3 linked regions of the Caenorhabditis elegans genome follow. The protein of the gene in region 2 interacts with the protein of the main gene of each other region in a pairwise test. Each region holds a gene or a part of one and is shown on either strand. Other genes may lie near its edges.

Evidence for each region. Proteins that work in one complex are often made in the same cells at the same time.
Region 1: the proteins of dmd-6 (region 2) and pax-3 interact in a two-hybrid assay, tested with the Caenorhabditis elegans proteins (one large-scale study listed by BioGRID).
Region 3: the proteins of dmd-6 (region 2) and gei-3 interact in a two-hybrid assay, tested with the Caenorhabditis elegans proteins (one large-scale study listed by BioGRID).

The regions. Positions count from the first base shown.
Region 1 is NC_003280.10:10,144,929-10,152,605, reverse strand, and holds the start of pax-3 (Paired box protein 3 homolog), read right to left. Parts: upstream 6,037-7,677; 5' UTR 5,759-6,036; coding exon 5,717-5,758; intron 5,287-5,716; coding exon 5,189-5,286; intron 5,144-5,188; coding exon 5,047-5,143; intron 4,349-5,046; coding exon 4,165-4,348; intron 3,756-4,164; coding exon 3,681-3,755; intron 651-3,680; coding exon 361-650; intron 302-360; coding exon 161-301; 3' UTR 1-160. UniProt on the Caenorhabditis elegans protein: Transcriptional activator. Regulates the lateral/ventral epidermal cell fate decision.
Region 2 is NC_003282.8:14,614,742-14,622,613, reverse strand, and holds the start of dmd-6 (DM domain-containing protein), read right to left. Parts: upstream 6,012-7,872; 5' UTR 5,904-6,011; intron 5,551-5,903; exon of another isoform or gene 5,530-5,550; intron 5,445-5,529; exon of another isoform or gene 5,424-5,444; intron 5,259-5,423; exon of another isoform or gene 5,238-5,258; intron 4,608-5,237; exon of another isoform or gene 4,587-4,607; intron 4,481-4,586; exon of another isoform or gene 4,460-4,480; intron 4,367-4,459; exon of another isoform or gene 4,343-4,366; intron 4,239-4,342; exon of another isoform or gene 4,218-4,238; intron 3,481-4,217; exon of another isoform or gene 3,460-3,480; intron 3,417-3,459; exon of another isoform or gene 3,396-3,416; intron 3,203-3,395; exon of another isoform or gene 3,182-3,202; intron 3,164-3,181; 5' UTR 3,160-3,163; coding exon 2,941-3,159; intron 2,887-2,940; coding exon 2,757-2,886; intron 2,433-2,756; exon of another isoform or gene 2,412-2,432; intron 1,091-2,411; exon of another isoform or gene 1,034-1,090; intron 598-1,033; coding exon 524-597; intron 106-523; coding exon 1-105.
Region 3 is NC_003284.9:12,810,604-12,815,439, reverse strand, and holds the start of gei-3 (HMG box domain-containing protein), read left to right. Parts: upstream 1-1,800; coding exon 1,801-1,833; intron 1,834-2,868; coding exon 2,869-2,983; intron 2,984-3,433; coding exon 3,434-3,535; intron 3,536-3,585; coding exon 3,586-3,857; intron 3,858-3,903; coding exon 3,904-3,996; intron 3,997-4,140; coding exon 4,141-4,257; intron 4,258-4,326; coding exon 4,327-4,436; intron 4,437-4,641; coding exon 4,642-4,791; intron 4,792-4,836.

The sequences.
Region 1 (7,677 bases), on a different chromosome or scaffold from region 2:
GCAAAGAGATTTAGATAAGTTTTGGGAAGAATGGGTGAATTCTTAAGGTAATGTTTTAAAATTAATTCTGGACTTTCAAATTAAATTTGTGTATCAATTTCTGATCGACTTTCAAATATCACAGGTTTTATTTGAAAGTTCAGAAATAAGTTCAAAGCGTTTAGCTTGATGATGGCGGAGATGATTGACTTGATGGGGGACTTGATTGGAGTATGTGTTGAAAGAATAACGGATTCAATTGAGGACTCGTTGAGTAGGAGGGTAGGAACATCATCGGTGAAGGCAGCAGCGTTGGGTAGGACTGAAAATCAAAGTTTTAGTAATTTGTTTTCTAATATATAGTTTCGATTTCTAACTAACCGGCGGAGATGATCCAAAACCTTGAACATTGTACTGTTGATACATTGGCATATTTTTCCGACATCTTGCTCGCCGATTCGAAAACCACGTCATAATTTTCTCTTCGCTGAGCCCTGTCTCCTTGGAAATGCTCTCTCTGGCGTTGGCATGTGGGTAAGTGTCTGCGCGGAACGCATTTTCAAGAACATCTAGTTGCTCGGCAGTGAATGATGTACGATTTCGACGAGACGATGCGTCGTTTGATGGTGAAGAGCCCTCTTCGTCATCCGATGACGATTTGCTGCATTCGTCTGAAAATTATTTTTTTGAAAGGGGTTATCATAGCTACCATTTTTGGGTACGTGAATGCATTTTTGAATTTTCATTAACAAACTCTATACATCCTCTCTCTATACAGACTTTCGAAATGTGGAACTAATATTTTTCATCTGCCATTTTTTTCATCCGTTGAAAATCGAAAGGGCAAATGTTCCAGGCGTAATTAAAATAACAAACATTTTCAATAGCATGCGACGTCAAAAGTTGAAGTAACTATTGCAACTAGAATATATTTGATACCAGGGAGGCTCTAATGAATAATGAGCATGCTGAAATGCCTTTCTGAAAGGCTTCCGGACTCGCCTGCCTCGAGACTGAAAATTATTTGAGTTCCGCATACGTTCTATTTCAAAAATTCAAAATCAGACCCCCGCCTATCAAGCATTTTCCCTCAAAATCCGGAAATCAATGAGTCAATTGTAAGGTATCTAACAGAGAAAGACTACGGCCTGCCAGTCGAGTCGCCCAATTACTATATATAATGTTGCGCCACAGTGGGTGGTCTCAGTCATGTCGTAGGCCTCTCGCATAGACACACTTCTCTAAAAATAATCGATAAAGATCGGGAGAGACCCTATTGCGGGTGGGGGAGGGGGGGTGTCTCTTCTAATTTATAGACTTGACACCTTTGTGTACTTGAGAAAGAGATATCATGTGGTGGAATGGACCCTATTAATTTGTTTTTATCGTTCCATTTTTTGACGGATCACTCCATCATCACCGTCGTTTCTCACATCCAAGTTTTATGAGCTGTGCGCTAATCGGTTTCTGTCACAGGAGTATTTTATAGTGACGGAAGGAAGGAAGGTAAGGTTATTTCTATACAATGTTCTAATTTGAAGAATGTCGATTTCAAGGATGCTCAACTTGATCTTTTATCTCATTAATATTTTTCATCCGTTCTTGTCAAATCAAAGCAGATTTCTACCGCACTTAGTCCTCTTTCTGGTAATAGTCTGCAGAAAACTTTAGCTACTTGCCGAGTAGAGTAAGATTTTCAAAAATGAATTCTCCCTTAAGCATACTGTAGTTTTTAACGATATCGTTCTATAATTCCCAATGCTCATTAAGAACGGCGCGGGGGAGTGCTATAATATATTCCCATTGAGCAATGTATTCTGAGCGTATTCCAGGAAGAAGAAACTTTTGTTTCCATTTCTTTTTTCACCTGGAACTTTATCACTCCAGTCTCTGATACCTAAATATCAGTCGTTGCGTTGTGTTTTCAACGGCTACCTATTTTTGGAAAATATTAATTTTTGTTACTTATGAATGTAATAGAAATATAGACATGTGGAAAATCATGGAAGTATTCTGACAAATTCGGGAAATTTCTGAAAAATCACGTTACCGCACCGCCGAGTTCAAACTTTGGTTCAAGGTTTGTGGTGGAGAGAGGGTAACTCGGACTCGGTAAAAACTTGATAATAAACAAGCTCACAATGATCTGTCATGCCTGCCTGCCTTCCAGGCAAGCTGACCAACACCTACTAACGATCTTGCGCAACATACCGTAACCCACATCCCTAACAATCATATTGTCAAATGTCAAATGTCAAAGTTTTAATGTGTTAAATTGCGGATATGTATTATGTTCGTATGCATGTGTTTGCTTTTTTTCGCGCATCCCAATCTTCTCTCGCGCCAGTCACTCGTGTGCCCATCCTGATCAATTGGCCGCGAAAATATGGAATTTATTGGATCGTTTTCTCCTCCTCCTACCTACCTATTTGAATAGGCACCTATCAAGTGCGCAAATCTTCTCCCCCTATCTTAATTGCTACGTGTATGCGAAAATGTGCGAAGTTGAGCGGTGGTTCACAATTTAAGGAATGACAAGATTGACGACAAGTTAGGAAGCGGGAAAAAACGGGACAGGAAGAGAGGGGAAGTGTTGAAAGTTTTGGAAGACAAGAAGTTGAAACAGCAGGAGGTAGTGGCATGACCCCTAGAAATTCAAGTAACTTGCAAAAACATAAGTTTGTGGCTGTCTAGTTTCTTATAAAAAGTAGGCTAAAAGTTTTGGAAGTTTTAAAAACCAAAAATTTCACTTTTATTCGTTCTATATAAACAGTCTCAAAGCTGTTGTTAAACTTGAATTTTCAGACAAAGATTTAATGAAACTGTTTGGAGTGCCGAACATGATAAAAATGCCTGCCTGCGTGCCTACAAGGTAGGCGTATGATGCCTGGAATTTGACATGCTCTTTCTTTAGATTACGATTTTCTTGCACAACTACCGTACCCTACCGAATGTGATTAACAACTGAGCACAGATCAAACAAGATTTTAGGATCAAAAGTGCCTGCTTACCGGACATCAAGGCGACCTACCTATAGGCTTCACAATGCAACATCAGACCCTAGACTTCACACCAAGATGTAGACGAATAGGCAGTAGGCAAGCTAACAGGTAGGCCTGAAGACACGCGGGACATTCCGGTACGCTTGTTGCAGATCAGGAGAAACAAAATGCGGTACACTACCGTAACCCGTAATTCAATCAGTCATGGTTCTCTCCCTGAAGATCTCCGTGGCGGCGCACAGCATGCAACTCACAAACAAATACGATGGTCTTGTTGATTAAAATCAACCCCTGACGCGTGCCCCCTTGTCTAATTCACATCATTCTTCACCGACGCTTCTTGTCCTTTCCGCCCCCACTTCTTCAACGTCTTCGCCTTTATCGTCTTATCACACCGTTAACATACACAGCGACATACAGGCGATACTAATCAAAGTGTTAATGACCGTTATTATATCAAAGAAGTCCAATATACAGTATGCCCTCTGGCCCCTTTGGGAATATTGGGAGGAATGAAAACTTTCATGCTACGTCTGTTTGTGTGTTACTATATGGCAGAAGAAAATTGAATTGAAAGAACGGAATGTTGCCTGATTGAACAGGAAATCCGACACCCAAAAAAGGTGTTGGAGGACATGAGACAAACGGAACGAAATTATAAATGTGTGAAATCAAGACTATTCCAATTAGACCACTTACCAATTGAAATTCCCAGAATGCTGTCGATACTGTAGCTCAGCCGTTTTCGTTCCATTTTCTTCGGAACCCCGACGCCTGCAAAAAAGTATGTGGTGATTTGTGTGAAGATAAATATTGATAAGGAAATTAAAACAAAAAAAAGTGATAAGGAAGATATGATGAAAAAGTGCAGCAAAAAAGATGATATGATTGGCGTGAAGAAATGATTGATGAGGTTATAGAAAGTGATAATTTGATCGAATATGTCTAGAAGTTCTTCTTGTGAGGTTTGTTGAATTTTTGTGGAAAATCACGCATCAAAAAATGACGCCCAAGCAAGTTTCCATGAAAGTATTCGAAACAAAAAAAATCGTTGTCAACAGTTAAACAAACACAACCACAGCTATCAGAAGCGGAACATTCATCAAACGAAACGAATTTCTGTTTGTTTTTCATCTATTCCTCTACCTTTTTTTTGCCTTCACAGTTTTCATCATTATTATACCTTTATTCCCAATAAGCCTTTTTATCGCAGGTACTGTTGGAGCATTTCCTTTTGTGCAAATGTCTTTGTGAATAAGCCAATCTCGGAGCTCTGCAGCGCTCATTTGTGGATTCTCATCACATGCGATCAGAATTTCTTTCTCGACGGCTTGGACTGTAAGTCGAGCGCGGGGACTTCCACCGATCTGAAATTAATTCATAGATATTTATGTTTAAAAAGCATTTGCTTTCGCTAGGCTTATGTAAGAAATATGACGAATATTTTCGGCAAATCTACAAAACTGCCCAATCCCAGATTATAACTCTTTTTTTTATTAAATTAAATGTAGAAATATAGATAGAAAAATATTTGATCAGTTTGAAAATATCAGTTATTTGCATTGAAATAGTCGAGAAAAATTTCAAAAACTGTTTCAAAGTTGTCATTTGCCGAAAACGTTTTGATATCAGTTCTTGGAAAGTTTCAGGTTGTTTTTGAGATGATTTTAAAGTTTATAAATGAATAAAAATTGTTTTGTATATTTGCACTCCCCGTTCTACACTCTTTGCCGTTTTGCAACCAACAAAATGGAATTTTCAAGAATTCAAAGTTTACTTTTTTTGGAATTGTAATTACCGTATGTTTTTGGTAACCAAAAACCTAGTAGACAACAACTACTTTAACAGAAACACAGACATCCGACGCATTTTTTGAAAAATGCCGAAAAGTGCCACCCGGGGCGTCGCACCTGCGCGACCCGCCAAAATTGAGTATTACGGTACTTTTTTGAATCAGGACGACGACACGCGGCACGTGTAGGCAAACATTAAATTTTATGGTTATGATTCGCCTGCCTGATGACCTAATTAGCAAATTATCTTATCATCCAGAAAATGCACTGACCTGTCCCGGAGATATTGAGCCCGTCTCGGCGTAACGATTCAAGATTTTCGAAACAGCTCCATGAGATACTTTGAGTTGACGACTGATGTGACATGGTCTAAAAGATTATTGTTAGTGTTCTCTAGAAGTTCGGACTACTTACTTTATACCCTTTTTGGCCATTGAAATGATAGCATGACGAACGTGAATTGGAAGGGGTCGACCGTTGATGAAAACTCCACCGAGTTGGTTAACACGACCCTGAATTAATTTTGGGCTTCAATAGAGGCGGTGAGAAAGGAGAAGAAATTGAGACTTGGAAAACTCAAAACATATTTTCAAAAACTTTTCAAATGCTATGAAAATCTAACTTAAGGCTAACTATAGTAATGATACTATCTAATTTTTGTGATGCTTGATGAGCTCTATTAACAATAAATCAAAAGTTTCTATAGGCTACAACTTCAAACTGTATAATTAACAAGAGCTTAATTTTAGCTCCTTAAAACGTCTGAGCCAGTATAGAAATAATTCGAAATTAACGTACATTCTAGAACCATCTAGAATTTCCAAAAATTTCTTCAATCAAATTTTTCCGGGATACATCTCCTACTTCTAGACATTAAAAAATACCTGAGCAGTAGTTTATGCACTACAACTAGAAAACAACTTATCGAAACCATAGACTTACCTGCCCAAGAATGTGATTAAATGTGATAGAATCTGTGGTCATTTTGTTAGTAGTGGATGGGATATCAGGAGCACGTATGGCTGGCCCCCAATATACCGAATGTGTGAATATCAGGTATATAGCGTGAAAACTTAAGGAGCGAGTAGTTTCGAGGTGACACGCCTTGTCGAACTGTGAATGGGCGGGACGGCGATCCCGCCCACCTATGCGCATGCGCGGTCTGTTACAGGCATGCATAGTCTCGAGTACGGTAATCGAAACCAGCGAGACATAGAGAAGGGCGAAAGACACGGGCGGTAAGCATCAAAGGACGTACTAGTAGATGTTGGCGCGGGGTATGTGGGTTTGTTATCAGAGATATTCTGACTAGGAGGTGGATTTTTGGAGATGAAGATTTATGTGCTCGATGGTTTTGATTTGAAAGGTCAATGTTTGGTAGTAGCACCTGCAAAATGGTGATTCACCTGTGGATAGTCTCGAAGAAAAGGACATCTAGGAGCGTGCGGATCTTGCAGATTCAAAATATTTGCAGATAGCTACATAGATCTAAGCAGTCCACCGTGCTTCTGGGTGAAGCTAGAAGTAACTCTAACATGAAACTGGAACCAGAAACGAATACTTCAAAACTTTAAAAATCGTTCATGTCCATTAAAAGCTTAAACAGCGTTAGAATTATTCATGCTACTAATATTTGAAAACAGCTTCTTAATGGATTTCAGACAAAGTTTACTTTCTTTGTTTGCTTTTTCGATTATGTGATTTGTTGGACTTACCTAACACAAAAATAATTTTCTGATTACCAAAAACATACATATTCCAAAAGTTGCAATTTCACGGAAACAAGAACAGATAGAACAAACAGACAACTTTCGAGAGTAGTGTAACTTGTTGGCAATGACCAATTTCCCCATTTTCATTTCCAGTGTTCAAAAGTGTAAACATATTTTACAAACAAAAGAGGTCAGGAGGAAAAGTGCTTCGAGGATACGGTACAAATATTTCCAATGAGAAATTTAAAGATATGACTTTGCAAAGATCGACTACATTCTTGCCTACCAGCCTACGGGTAGGTTAATTTGAAATCTGAAAAAACTAACATATATATGTATCTGTAATTTGAGACCAGTGTTAGTTGTAAGTTTGGAAAAATAGTTGTCACCTCTATTCATTCAGATTTTCAAGTATTTCTATAACTATTCTTTTTTCAGTATCCCTTTACTCTGTCTTATCTGATTATTCAATTTCAGACGTTCTTTTAGACCTATCTGTTTTGTGTCGGCCCGACTTAAGAACCTACTTGTCTTATCTCGATCTACAATGTGCAAAACAAGTTCATCCGCGAACTGTCAATCAATAAATTGCTCGCAATTAGCGAGTCGGTGTTTGGGAGGGCTCGTGTTGGGAAAGTTTATGTCATTGAGATGAATAATGGTATTTTTAGTTGTTTACCGACGGTGTCTAAAGATATAAATCTATTCTAAACTACACAATTGGAGAATTATTTGTGAGTTTCAGTTAGAAACAAAACGTGAAAATATGTGAAATAATGTGAAATAATCCTAGTCATTAATCCTTTATTACCCCATACAAATAGCCTTTTAATACCGAAAACACCTGAAAACTACACGTGCATTACCCAATCAACAAGTAGGGCCCAATTTCTTTTTCGGCACGTGTCACATCATCATTTCCTTCTTCATCTTCCCGGATTGCGCAAGGTTGTCTTACACCATTTTCCTGATAATCTGGGACCATGTTATCAGGGGGACGAAGAAACGGTGGCGGTATCGTTTGAAGTGGTATGCGGTCATAATTAAGGGCCACGCGCCGATGTCAACTTTTGGGGGTCTTCACACCTTTGTAACACTTGGATATATCTTTATCTATCTATCCGGAGAAGTGTGAGATGATGATGATGCGGGGTTTTCCGCTATCTGAAAAGGGCATCATCTATGGAGAAT
Region 2 (7,872 bases):
CCAAATATCATAGGACATGACTGTCATGTGCCCAAGTGAGCCACTTCGTCCTTCAAGACCATTAGCTGTGGGCATTGTGGAGTTGGAACGAGTGATAGGAGTCGTCTGAAATGGAATATAGTTGAGCATGAGATTGGAAATGAGCTCAAGAGTATGAGAAGATAAAGTAATAACAGGGCTCGCGCACCTGCTCCGCCTATTCTGACAAAATGTGAGCGCCGCTGCGTGAGGAGGGAGCCAGAGCAGCGTGCGAAGAGAGAGAGAGAGAGAGAGAGCGCATGCTTTGGAGCAGGAGCAGATTAAAAACCATAAGATCAGAATTTTCCCTCTCTCACTGGTTCTGTCGTCGACGTCTTCTTCTCATGCAGCTGTTAGGTCAAGGTGCGCGTGAGAGCTATGAGCAGACTAGAATATTTTCCTAAGAAACCGCGATTTCAGAGAAAGAAAGCCAGCTAGCTATTGACAGATGCCTTACACATATGAAGTGCAAAACAAGAGTCTAGTTTAGGTGGAGAATACTTACCGATGAGGTTCTCGTCTCCGAGTCCATGTCTGGTGTTGAAGTTTTTGAGCAGAATGAGGAACGGCGGGAGAAGCCTGAAAAGTTTCGAAATATTGAATTGGAACATATTGTGTGTGTGTATGTGTTGGAAAAGAAGAAAATGGAAAGTGTTTCGCGTTTCACTGCAGAATGAGAAACAATAGAAAATCGAATGCATCTTTCTTTCTCTCGGGGGGCCCCGAGTGTGGGTATATAGGACAGGTACTAGGTGCCGGATAAAGATCAGTAGAGGGACACAAGGGTTCCGTACTTGGGAAAGGAGTCTCGCACTGGATAATGCCGCCGGCTTACGACGGAGTGAAATGGGAGACGAAACATGTTGAGAGAGAGAGAGGAAGAAGAAAGAGACGCGAATAGAAATTCGGTGATCTTTAAATCCTTCACTATTTGGTGCGACTGGTGTGTTGCTCACCTTTTTTACATTATTTTTTCATAGTCTGTGTACACTTACTCCCACTGATTCAGTCCTATTAGAAAAGAGAGAGAGAGAGAGAGAGAGAGAGAGAGAGAGAGAGAGAGAGAGAGAGAAATGAAAAAAAATGTATATGAAAGAGCAGCACACCAAAACACAGGGATCATACGTAATGTGAGCTAATGTGATTCACCATTTGCCTACGTCAACGCCATTTTGATGATTTCTAATCTCTATTCATTTATATGTAGACATCGAAAATTGAGAACAAGAAAAGTGACGGAAATCTGTTTACAGTCGAGCCGGCGGCTCCAGACACATACTTGGAATTTCTATTTCTGTTTGGCCAGCATACGCGCATACGTGCTCAATCTAACCATCGGTCAGCGGATATTCAAATGATAATTGCTATTATTTTGAACTGACACGAGATATGTGCCAACCGTCGTGAGTCATTGAGACACCAAAGCATAACTTTGTAGACAGATAAATTGAGTGGGAAAATTGTGAAAAATGAAAAGGAGAGAGAGAGAGAAAATAATTACGTATAATCAAATGCAAAAAGATCGTAGACGGGCTGCATAAGGGATCAAACCAGGGAGCTAAAACTCAAAACGGAAGACGTTCCAAGGAGTTTAGCTCAATTTTTTGAAGACAGAACCGAAATTATAATACATAAAAATGAAAATGAAGACTAGACGAAATGCCTGAAATATTCGCGAATAACAGAAGAGACAGTCGTCCTCGGGAGGCTGGGCACACAAACACATACACAGAAAAGTGATTGTGTACTGAAAATGTGAGCGCCTTTTCGTCATCCTCTCTGTGTGTGTGTGTGTGCCTTAAAATGTGAAAAAACGTGGAAAAACGAGAGGACGATGAGAACCGAGTAGACTAGTAGTTGCGAAAATCAGACAGGGCAAACGAGAAATAGTACAGATGTGATGAGAGTGTGCAGACGCAATGAGAAAGAGTGCAAGGTCCTGAAGCGACCGAAGAGAAGGGATGAAAGGGGGGGGGGGAGGAGGAGAAAGAGTTGCTGGAATGTACTAAAAACAAGTAGATGGCGAATGAGCAAAACAAAAAGGTCAGTGGAGGGTTCGAGTCGATCAGGACACACATTTTTGTATATATCAAGACGACGAAAACAAGATTCGTAGATTCGAGGGATGGAACTAGGAAATAGAATTTTCAGCGATCTAAGAACACTTGTTCTGAATATAGAATTTTGTTATTGCGGCGTTCCAAAAGTGCGACGAATTACACTGGAACGATCAGAAAGCGCAAGAATCAGGTGATTTTTGTAATGGTATAAAGGAAAAAAACTGATAACACTATCAAAAGATTAGTCTAGTACCGGTACCTACAGTCTACTTTTTTGCAAAAGTTGGGCAAATAGTTGCTTTGTTTTTGAAAAGTGAATGTCATGGGATCGAATTTTGTAGTAAACTCTTGAAATCAAAAGATCATGTCCTTTCCAAAATATCTAACAAATATGAAACATCATCGCAAACTCCAAAATAGTTTTGAAATAACACTTGATCTTTCAGTGGTTCTGCTGTCTACGTTGTTAGTCATACAGAGATTTTCGATCGCGTACGAGAAACGAACAAAACAACCGAGTACATTTTTGTGGAAATCTAGACGGAAGTTATGCATATTTGTGGGGGAACTAGGGAGTAAGCGCCAAAACACAACTGAGAAATCAGAGATCTATGGGTACTATATGGATTCTAATTTGATAGTGAAGGAGTAGGAGACAGAGATCAGGGAAAAGCTCACCTTCTTCATCGTCAACACTGGATCCGGATTCTGGAGCATGTCTCTTTGCATTCAGAGCTGCTGCCAACTCGATCTTTTCCTTATTTCTCTTGTTGAACGACTTCAGGCGCTTGTAGTTTAGCTTCTCGCACTAAAATTTGAAAATTTGAAAACAAAATAGCTCCCAGACTCTTCTAGAACTTACCGATTTGCAATTGCACAGAATATATGGGCACTGTGGTGAGTGATTCTTGAGGATCACCTTCTCGCCGTGTCCTTCGCACTTTCGGCAGTAAAGGATGCGTCCCTTTGGCTTTGGGGAGTCCATGTCTTGGGATGATGGAGAGTAGTTCTCGTTGCTGCGGTGATGATGATGATGATGCTCGTCGTCGATGGTTACAGTAGCGATGATGTGTGGGCTCATTTTACTGAAAGAATTGGGAATTTGAGATATGTACGGAAGGAGAGCAAAAGATTTTTCAAAGTAAGACTTCTTACGAACAGCGTGAAACAGGAATTCTTTTAATTTTTTAAGTTTAAAATATGTGTAAAAAACAGACCTCTAGAAACAGAAAATTGAAATATTAAAAAATTTCAATAAATTTTAAAAATTAGTGTTTCAAAACTTGAATATTCGTTGGCTAGTTATGATTTACATAATGAAGCTCCCGAAATTTCGAAAAAAATCTAATTGTCTTACTGAATTTAATGATTCACAGTAATTCTGCTAGATGCACACAGCAAATTGATGCAACATGATCACTGTATAAACTTGTGAAAATAATGAAACAGTAATTTTTCTTCAAGACATATATATTCCAAGAGTACTACAGTAATCCACAAGAGCTTAACCTTAGCTAACCTAAAATCATGAAGACTGATCAGGAATAGTGACAAAAATGGAGGAGGAGCTCCAAGGGTCAAAGCGGAAGTTACAAAGGGACCTACAAGAGAGTAAGAGAAAAAAATATGTAATTTCTTTTTTTTTTCCCATTCGAAAAAAAACACACTCGATGGGTGTGTGTTCCAGCTTCCTCGTTCCTATTTTTCCAGTCCCTAGTGGTTCAATAATCACATATGCGGGGAACACACACACACAGGGGGGTGTTCGAAGATCACTCGGGGTCTACTAGTCTGGGCTCGAAAAGCTCAAAAATTGGGTGAAAAACATGCTAACGCGAAGCAGCAGAGACACTGGAGAACACAACACAAATTGTGATCTAGAACACACACAGAGAGAAATAGATGACCAGGCGAACGGAGCACAAAACAGAAGAAGCAGAACACGGAAATGAGAGGATGGTTGTGCAAAATAAGTAGAAAATATCTAGAGGAAGTAAATTAAGACATTTTCAGACAAGGAAATAAGCGTTTAGATGGAGATAACTAGGTTACTGTAGATGATTTTTGAAAATTGGAATTCTTAATGAAAATTTACTGTTTCACAGAAAATGTTTAAGAGTTTTAAAACTGGAACTGTAATATTTATGTGATTCTATTAGTAATAAAAAAACTCACATCAGTAAAGGATTTGCAAAAATTTTAAAAATCGAAAAAAAGTTACTGTTTCACGGAAAATGTTTGATTATTTCAAAGTAGAGGCATACTACTTGTAGAACGACAGGAAAATTACGGTTTCAAATTTTGAAATTTAATAACACTTTCACTGTAAATTTTGTGAAATTTGGCATATGAATTTGATTACTGACTAAAAATAACAATTTACTCCTAATAAGAAATACAAATCAAAAATTATGTTGCGGTTATGTATACGTAAAAATTTAAAAACAGTGAAATTTTTCACTGTTTCAAAATATGCATTAAAAATGTTGTGGACTCTTTTTTTTTTGCTATTACCAACGAAGTAGGTTCATCATTTTTCAACAAAAAATATTTATGTAGATTTTTAAAATCTTATTAAAATTTTGAATTCGAATTTTTGAAATTTCAAATTTTGAAGAAAAAAATTACTGTTTCAAAATAAAAATATGAAAAGTTCACAAAGTTCAAAGTGCTTTCGACAGAATTTAAAAAATATAGAAATTAATACAAAACACATCAATTCCATAGGTACAAAGTTCCGTAAGTTCGGTTCTTTGTTGCTCCTCCTCTACTACACACGGCACACAGAAAATGAACATAAAATTGGGCGGTACAAAGTTTAGGCGGGGTGTGCAAATATTTGACCTACTCTCCACCTCCTCCCACTAACCGGGTTGAATGACTGAAGAGGTCGAAAAGTGTGTTTTTGATCACAAACTTTATCATCATCATTCTGTGACTTTTCCAGAGAAGAAAAATCTAGAAAAAGTCAAGAAAAATGATTCAAAAAAATAGGAAAAATAAGTGATCAAAAAACTGGAGTTGGGGGACCCGCAAAAACAGAGAACACAACCGCCAGACAAAACATTTCTTCTTTTTCTTCGTCTCTTTAAAGATCGCCGAGTAAATTGACAACAAAAAGCTCAAAGTTTCAGTGTTTTTCTCTTTGAAGCAGGAACAAAAATTTTCAGCTTCTTTTCAGCTGAAGCTCAAACTTTTTTAAAAGAAAAAGACATTGTGAAACAGAAAAGTTCCCATTTCTTGTAAGAAATGACTAACAAGTGACACGGCAAAAAGTGAAAGAACTGGCAAACACGTAGCCTTTGTAGTCTACAAAATGTGTCTACAAAATGTACAATAAGGTGAAACTTTTAAAGAAAGAATAGAGCAAACACTTAAAAAAAATGGAACTTTTTTCAAAATTTTGAAACAGTTGAAAATTTTTTAATCAGAATAGTTTAGTTTATTGGGACCAATACAGGGCGATATCATAGCAAAAACAAACATTTATTTGTGAATTTCAGAACTTTTTGAAACAGTAAAATATTTTTGAAACCAAAACTTTGTGGTTGTCAGCCAAGCTACAAGAAGCGACGAAAATTATTGCAATTTTCAAACTTAAGTTTTGTTTATAAAAAAAAACAATGCTCTCTGTGTAAATTTCAAAATGTTTTGAAACAGTTAATTTTTTCCAAAGTCCAAAATTTTGAATTTTTTCCGTTTCCTCCGCCACGTCATTTGCACTAATTTTGTGCTTCCGACTAACATTATACAAACATCTTCACCGGTTTTCCTAGACACCTCAAGTGGCTAAATATGTTTGCAACAAAAAAAACACGAACTTACCAATGACCAGCTCCACAAAATAATATTTTTTTTTGATTGTTGAGCCACACGAGCTCCAACCAAAAATGGCTTCTTTTTGATGATTTGGCAATGAAAGTGAGATGAAGTCTGAAAAAAGAGGAATTTCTTTAAAAATTTGCGGAGAAATTGTATAGTAAATTGGAAAGAGAGAAGCCAAAATTGTGATTTTTGAAAAAATTATGGAAAAGTTTTGCATACGAAATCTGTTTAATACGATTATTTTTCACGTGCGCAGAGGGAACCGAAAGATTAAAAGTATATATGGAGAGAAAACTGTCGGAAAATGTTGGACGAAGTTTAATCAGTGAGGTTTTGTTGAAAAGTTTAGAAGAAACATTTTTGAAACAGTGAAAAAAATTTCCAAAAAAAAAAGAGTACAATTAGAACCTGTAAATTGAAAATTTTAATCAGTGATTCTTAATGCAGAAATTCGATCACGTTTTCATCGAAAAAGCCAGTTTCCACGCAGCTTCAGATCCCAATCAAAAACGATCCAGAATGAAGTGAAGATGAGGAAATGCAATGGAAGGGAATAACGAGTGTATTAAACTAGACACAGTTCGTATTAAGGGCGTATGTAGGAGTTTCAAGGTAGAAAGAGGCCGAAGCACGGGAGATGAATATCTTGAGGGATTTTTTGGGAAGTTTCTTGACTGTAACAGGAAAAAAAAGAACCGAAGTTATTGAGAAATGAAAGTTGAAATTAGGAACATGCAATTTTGAAACAGTATTTTTTTTCCGAAAAGTTAAAATTGGTCAATTTTGGCGGGAACGGCAGTTCAACAGATTTAAATATATATTTTAGCGAAATTTATATTAACATTCCAAACAGGTAACAAATTGTGAAAAAAGTTTAGGTTTCTGGCTGTAACAGGAACAAGATGCGACCATTAATGAGAAATCAAGCTTGAACTTAGAAAAATGCGGAAAACAAATTTTTTTGGAAATTTTAGTTATTGCAACTGCACATAAAATTGTTATATTTTCCAGCGACATGGTTTATATTAAGATTCAGAACAGTTAAATAAATTGGAAATAAATTGGATTGAAAAATTGTCGAAAAAATCACCGTTTCCTTATAATAAATTTTAAAACAGTAATTTTTTTTTTTGGAAAACTTAAAATAAGATCGGATTTCGTTAATTTTTCAGTTAATTTCTCACCAACTACACTTACTACAAATACTGAATTCTTGAATGTACGTGTGAATAAAGGTTAGATCCGCCGAGTTAGATAAGAAAAACACGGTAAATGCAGAAATCCCACATTTGAACGGATTCTGCTGCTGGAGGTGGAGATATCGAGTCACAGAATGTTCATTGGGATCTTTCAGAACTACTACTAACACTTGAAACGGCGAGGAATTTTCATGGAATTTTTGAAACAGTGAAAAAAATTTCCAAATTTTAAAAATTTTTAAATTTTGACATTCAAACTTCGAAAGTTAAACTATTAATTTTTATTTCTTGATTTCAAGTTTTAAGATTTACTTCTTAAACTTCTATCCAGAAAATTGTTACTGCTACAAACTACGGCCTACGGATACTACGGATACTACGGAAATTACGGATATTCAATTGGAACTGATGTTACTCAAAAGATCCGTGATCGAGATACAGCCGGGCAGGCGGGGGGTCGCTATGATTTTTGTTGTTACTCTTATGCAAGTAAATTGCACTTTTCTGGCCCCACTAAGTAGCTCACGCTTTTGTAGAGATCAAACGCCCTCCCTGTAAAGGCGTCACATCTCGAAAAATACATGGAGGAAAAGCTGCTTGTGTTGAGATTATGATCAGAGAAAACGATGTTGAACAAGAGATCGCAGAATTTTTTGATTGGAACGAAATAGAATGAAAAACAACTGCGAGAAATATTTTTATAGAATTTGAAAAAAAAAATTGAAAAAAAATTACTGTTTCAAAATTATCACAAAAAAAATTTTGTTGCA
Region 3 (4,836 bases), on a different chromosome or scaffold from region 2:
CGACCTTTTTCCCGGATTTTCCACCCAATTTGCATGCGAACCCTCCAGTGGGTGTGGTCTCGGAACCCAATTTCATTAAATGTTAGATCAACCCGAAAGACAACAAATTACGAAAAAAAAAGTGTCATGTAAAAATTGCCGTCGGGATCGTAGTCTCATTCGCCAACCGCTGAATGAACTGATGTTTTTGCCCGACAAAACATACAATTAGCCTTGATGACGGCAAAGTATTAGGTTAACCCAAAAAAAAAAGAAAACGAAGAATCAACAAATGTTGTCATCAGTGTACGCGTACGGGTCGAGTCAGGATCTAGATGGCGAATTCAGGTGATGGGAGGGGGTGTGGGTGACGACGTAAGCAGTTACGTAGTTTTTGTTCTAGTATTGTAAATACGCGTCGTTGGCAAAGGTAAATGATCCTTGACTATCAATTTTAGTCGCAACCGATTTTCTACAAAATCCTTCGGTAATTCTCAAAATAGCGAAAGCATCCCTAATCTGTGCGAAATTTACGCCATACATTATTTTTAGAACATCATGGAAAGATTTTTAGAGGATTAGAAAATATGGTATAAAGCTTACCTGAAATCAGCGACGACTTATTTCAGTGCCACCGTGATTTTTTTGTTGTAAAATTTATAGAACACTGAATATCGTTTTGATATCTCGGAACTGGAGTCTGACGCAGAAATTTTTACCAGCACCTTGCTTACCTACATTGTTATCTGAACGTGTCTAAAGTGTAAAAATTAAGGAATAAGAGAATATCTAGTGATATTTTCATTATTAAATAGAATTTTAAAACAATTATAAAATTTGGGTTCTTATGTATTTTAAGTAACCTAATATATATTTTCATCAAATCACAGCCTAAATAAAATTTTCCTATTGCTAACTGTTTATGTAGATGTCGAGTTTTAGCACATAACCACGGAAATTTCAAACGAAAAATATTAACAATTTCTGAACTAACATGTCCTCAAAATTTGGTAGGATTTATTCTTGATCAAAACTTTTTGTGGAAATATTGAAATATCACGTTTTTCAAATTTTGAACGTTGAATATCAATTATAATTCTAGGAAGTGCATCATCTTTTGTTATTTTGACATCACATTATGAAGCCATTGATTATGTTTTCAAATTTTTTTTTCGAAATCCTAATGGCATTTATCCCCTTATCAAATCACTCATCATTGGGTTGAGATTAGATCAATTCAAGTCACTTCCAGATCATCCGCCCACAATTTAGAAAATCATAAAACTCTCCGAAAATGTTGTTCTGTTCCATTACATTTCACTTCTTAGCATTTTCCTCTAGTTCTTGAGTCACTTAATCTTCAAGGCTTCATTTTTAAAGCTTTATTTTTTCTTTTTTTTTCTTCAAATTTTTTTCATCAGAATAATTATTCAAATCTTTTCAAACCTTTCGTTCTCTAGACATTCGCTTCGGCGGGAAACCTCACATTGTTCATTGAGCAGCCTGATTTCAGGTCCTGTTTAGGAGGACTGACCCACAATCTGTGATATGTGCAACTACTAGCAGGCAGTGCTCGGCAGCTTCCCATGCAGTACACGCGTCAGGTATTTTTTCCATGAGTCTTTTTGAAAATCAAGGTGAGTTTGAAAGTATTTTCTTTTTCTGCGTTTTGGAATGCTCTTTGCATCTGGAGTAGGGTGGAGTACATATTTTGGCTCCATAAAAATATTTAAATTTCAGTTGAACTATCTTGCATATTTTTTCAAATTGAAAAATATATATTATACAGGAAGTTTGCAAATCGTTCCTGAAATCATCTCGATGGAAAATCAAGAAGGCGGATCTCCGAAACAGGTACAGTATCATTGTTTTCTTCTAGTACGTTCTGCCAAACGAACCAACTAAAAACACAACTAGGTTGACCTGAAAAATTGTATCTGTATGGATTTTAGTTTCAAATTACCGTGTTTTATTTTTTTTGCGCAACTTTCTAGTATTACCTTTGACTTCTAATAATGTTAGTACTTCTAATTCTAGTGTTTTGAAAACCTCTATTTATATATGTCTCCAGCTTCTCGACGAGTCTACTATTATTCTAGTGACCGGAATAATTAGCAGGTTAACATTATTCATTCAGAAATATTACTAAAAAGTTCAAAAATTCGGAAGCTATACTAAAACATTTTTGAAAGGCTAATGGTCAAAAATCCTTATTATTTTCTAGTACTCCTCGATTGTGTTTTAAATCCTGTTATTTCAAGGTTTGAACCATTTGTTTGAGCTAAATTTGTTTGCAAAAATTTTATTCATGCTCCCCCCTAATTGAGTTTTTAACAATTTATTTTGATTAAAAAAAGGAATTATTTACCAAAAATTTATTTCAATTAACTTCCTTAAAGTTTTACTCCATAAAATTGAAGAAAATTTCGTAATTTTATAAATGAAACATTTCAACTCCTCAAGAATGGGTTTCGGTATTTGGGTATTTAATGCCTTTATTTTAAAATGTATCTTTGTATGTTTTGAAAAATAGAAACTTGTAGAATATTTTTATAGTTTGGGTTCAGGAAATAATCATTTCGAAGTCTAGCAGGAGAAAATCCATACCACGTTTATTTACAAAATGAAATTAATGAAATTGAGAACATTTAATAAGTACATATGTTTCATCACTTATATGTATAAAAATATTTGGTACTTATTGGTTTTGTTCCCCTAACTAACAAATATTTCTTATTTATTTACTTTAGGACATTGATCAGAAAAGAAAAAGAAACGTAATTTAAAACTGATCAGAAAGCTGATTAAAATCATTGGATAATCTTTTCTAACCAGACGAATGTATACTTTTTGACGTAAGATAGCGTTTTTATCTATCCGATTCTGCAGATTGCGGCCATTCCGTCATTGCTCACTCAACAATCGCTGCCATCAGCGGCAGCGACCGCGTTTCGAAGTCACACGTCAGAAAGCCAAGATGATCTGTCTCCCACAAACTCGTCACGTAAGTTCCAGAATATTTTTGTATTCTTTTGCCGTTCACGTGTAGTGCATCCTCCCAACTGCAACCTAAAATTATTCCCACCCGAATGATGATTGGCCATCTGCTTTGCTCTGTCAATAACGTTTATAACAAAAATTTTCGCTTTTTTCTTCATCTTTTTGTGTGGTTTACTTTGAATGGAATACCCTTCTCATAGTTTATGTAGTACAACTTTCTGTGTTCCATTTGGTTTTTGTTCCCTTTTTGAGCTCTCCTGCAACTCTCCGAAAAACGTATAAATTCTCGGTCTCGCATCCGGACTTTCGCTTGGATAGGTGTGCAATGGGCGCCTCTTTTTTGTCAGTGTAGTTTTTTTTTGTTGTACATAGTAGGGAATGTTTTTTGTTGCTTCTTTTTGATTTCATTCCCGCCATATTTTGCATTGAACATCACAACTCATAAGTGTTCCAGAAGCGCCAACACCAGCTGGCCCAATCGGCGCGTTCCGCTTCTCCGCATTTTTTAACCCTGATATTTTACGTAATCTAAATATTCAGAAGTCTTCTCCACCAAGTGAGACTAATTCAGTTTTTCGCATTTTCTCCTTACCAATTGATTTTCAGACCAACCTTCAGACGACGTTCCACCTCCACAGACATCGCAACCATCATCGGATACCACAGCTGAACCTTTACCTTCACCTGCAGCTACTCGTATTCACCATCCGATACCCGTACAATATAACACAGATCTAATAGCCGCAGCGACATCTGTTAACTCTAACGTTATTCTGGTAGACTGGTTGGGACATCGGGTTTTGGCACGAGTGCCTCCTGGTGTATATCAGCCGGGGTTTGTGAAAACTGCATATGGTAACCGCGATATAATTGTGCAGGTTAGTGGATTTTGAGCACATAAAGAATAAAATAAAGTATTTTCAGTTGGATGATGGTAGAGAAGCTAGATATGACTATGTAACAAGCGAGTTTAACTTGACAATGGTGATTGCCGATCAGGCTCCTAGTCTTTCCGACGTAAGTTTTAATTTTTTGGCGTATAAAGATAACCTCATTTTACTAACAAATAACACTAAAGAAATTTCAAAAATGAAATTTCAAGATACCTTTCCCCATCAGTTAAAATATATTCAAGAACATTTATTACTCTTCATATTTCAGTTAACAACACTTGTCTCAAACACAATTCTGGCAGTACGATTACCACTGGAGAAGTCAGAAACAATTTACAGAACGGCTGAACTTCAATCAAGCAACGGGAATCCGCCGAAATTTATGGTACTAGACTAGATTTCTTGCAAAAACTATGAACTTGCAAGTACATTAATTAATGCCAATTTTTTGCAGGTGAAAGTGACCAACGCAAATTACTCAAGTCTAGTGTCTCGGGCAAATTTGAGATTGCTCCGGCCGCCCTGGTATGAGGATTTAATAAATCCACAACGGGTTTCTAACAGGTAGGGTAAACTTTAAAGAAATATTTTTTGAGTTTATGTTTTCACTTTTTGAAGCTATCAGATAAAAATAGTTTTTGTTTTTGACTCTAATATTGATTAGTCGGACTTGATTTTTCAAATGATAACTGAAATGCAAATTACTCAGTTTTTAGAAAGCATTTCATTTTAAAGTTTTTAAGCAGCAGTATTCAATAAAATTTTCCAGTGTACCAACATCTTCAATGTCCTTACCTAGCACAAGCGAAGACGGCCGACAAAACACAAATTCGCAAGACAACGTTACTTTATTGATGGCTCTGCAACAACAGCAGCGGCGTTCACAGCAATTACAACATGTCATTAATATCACTCCCATGTAAGTTACTTGCAATTTTTGAAAATGTCAGATTTCTCATATACG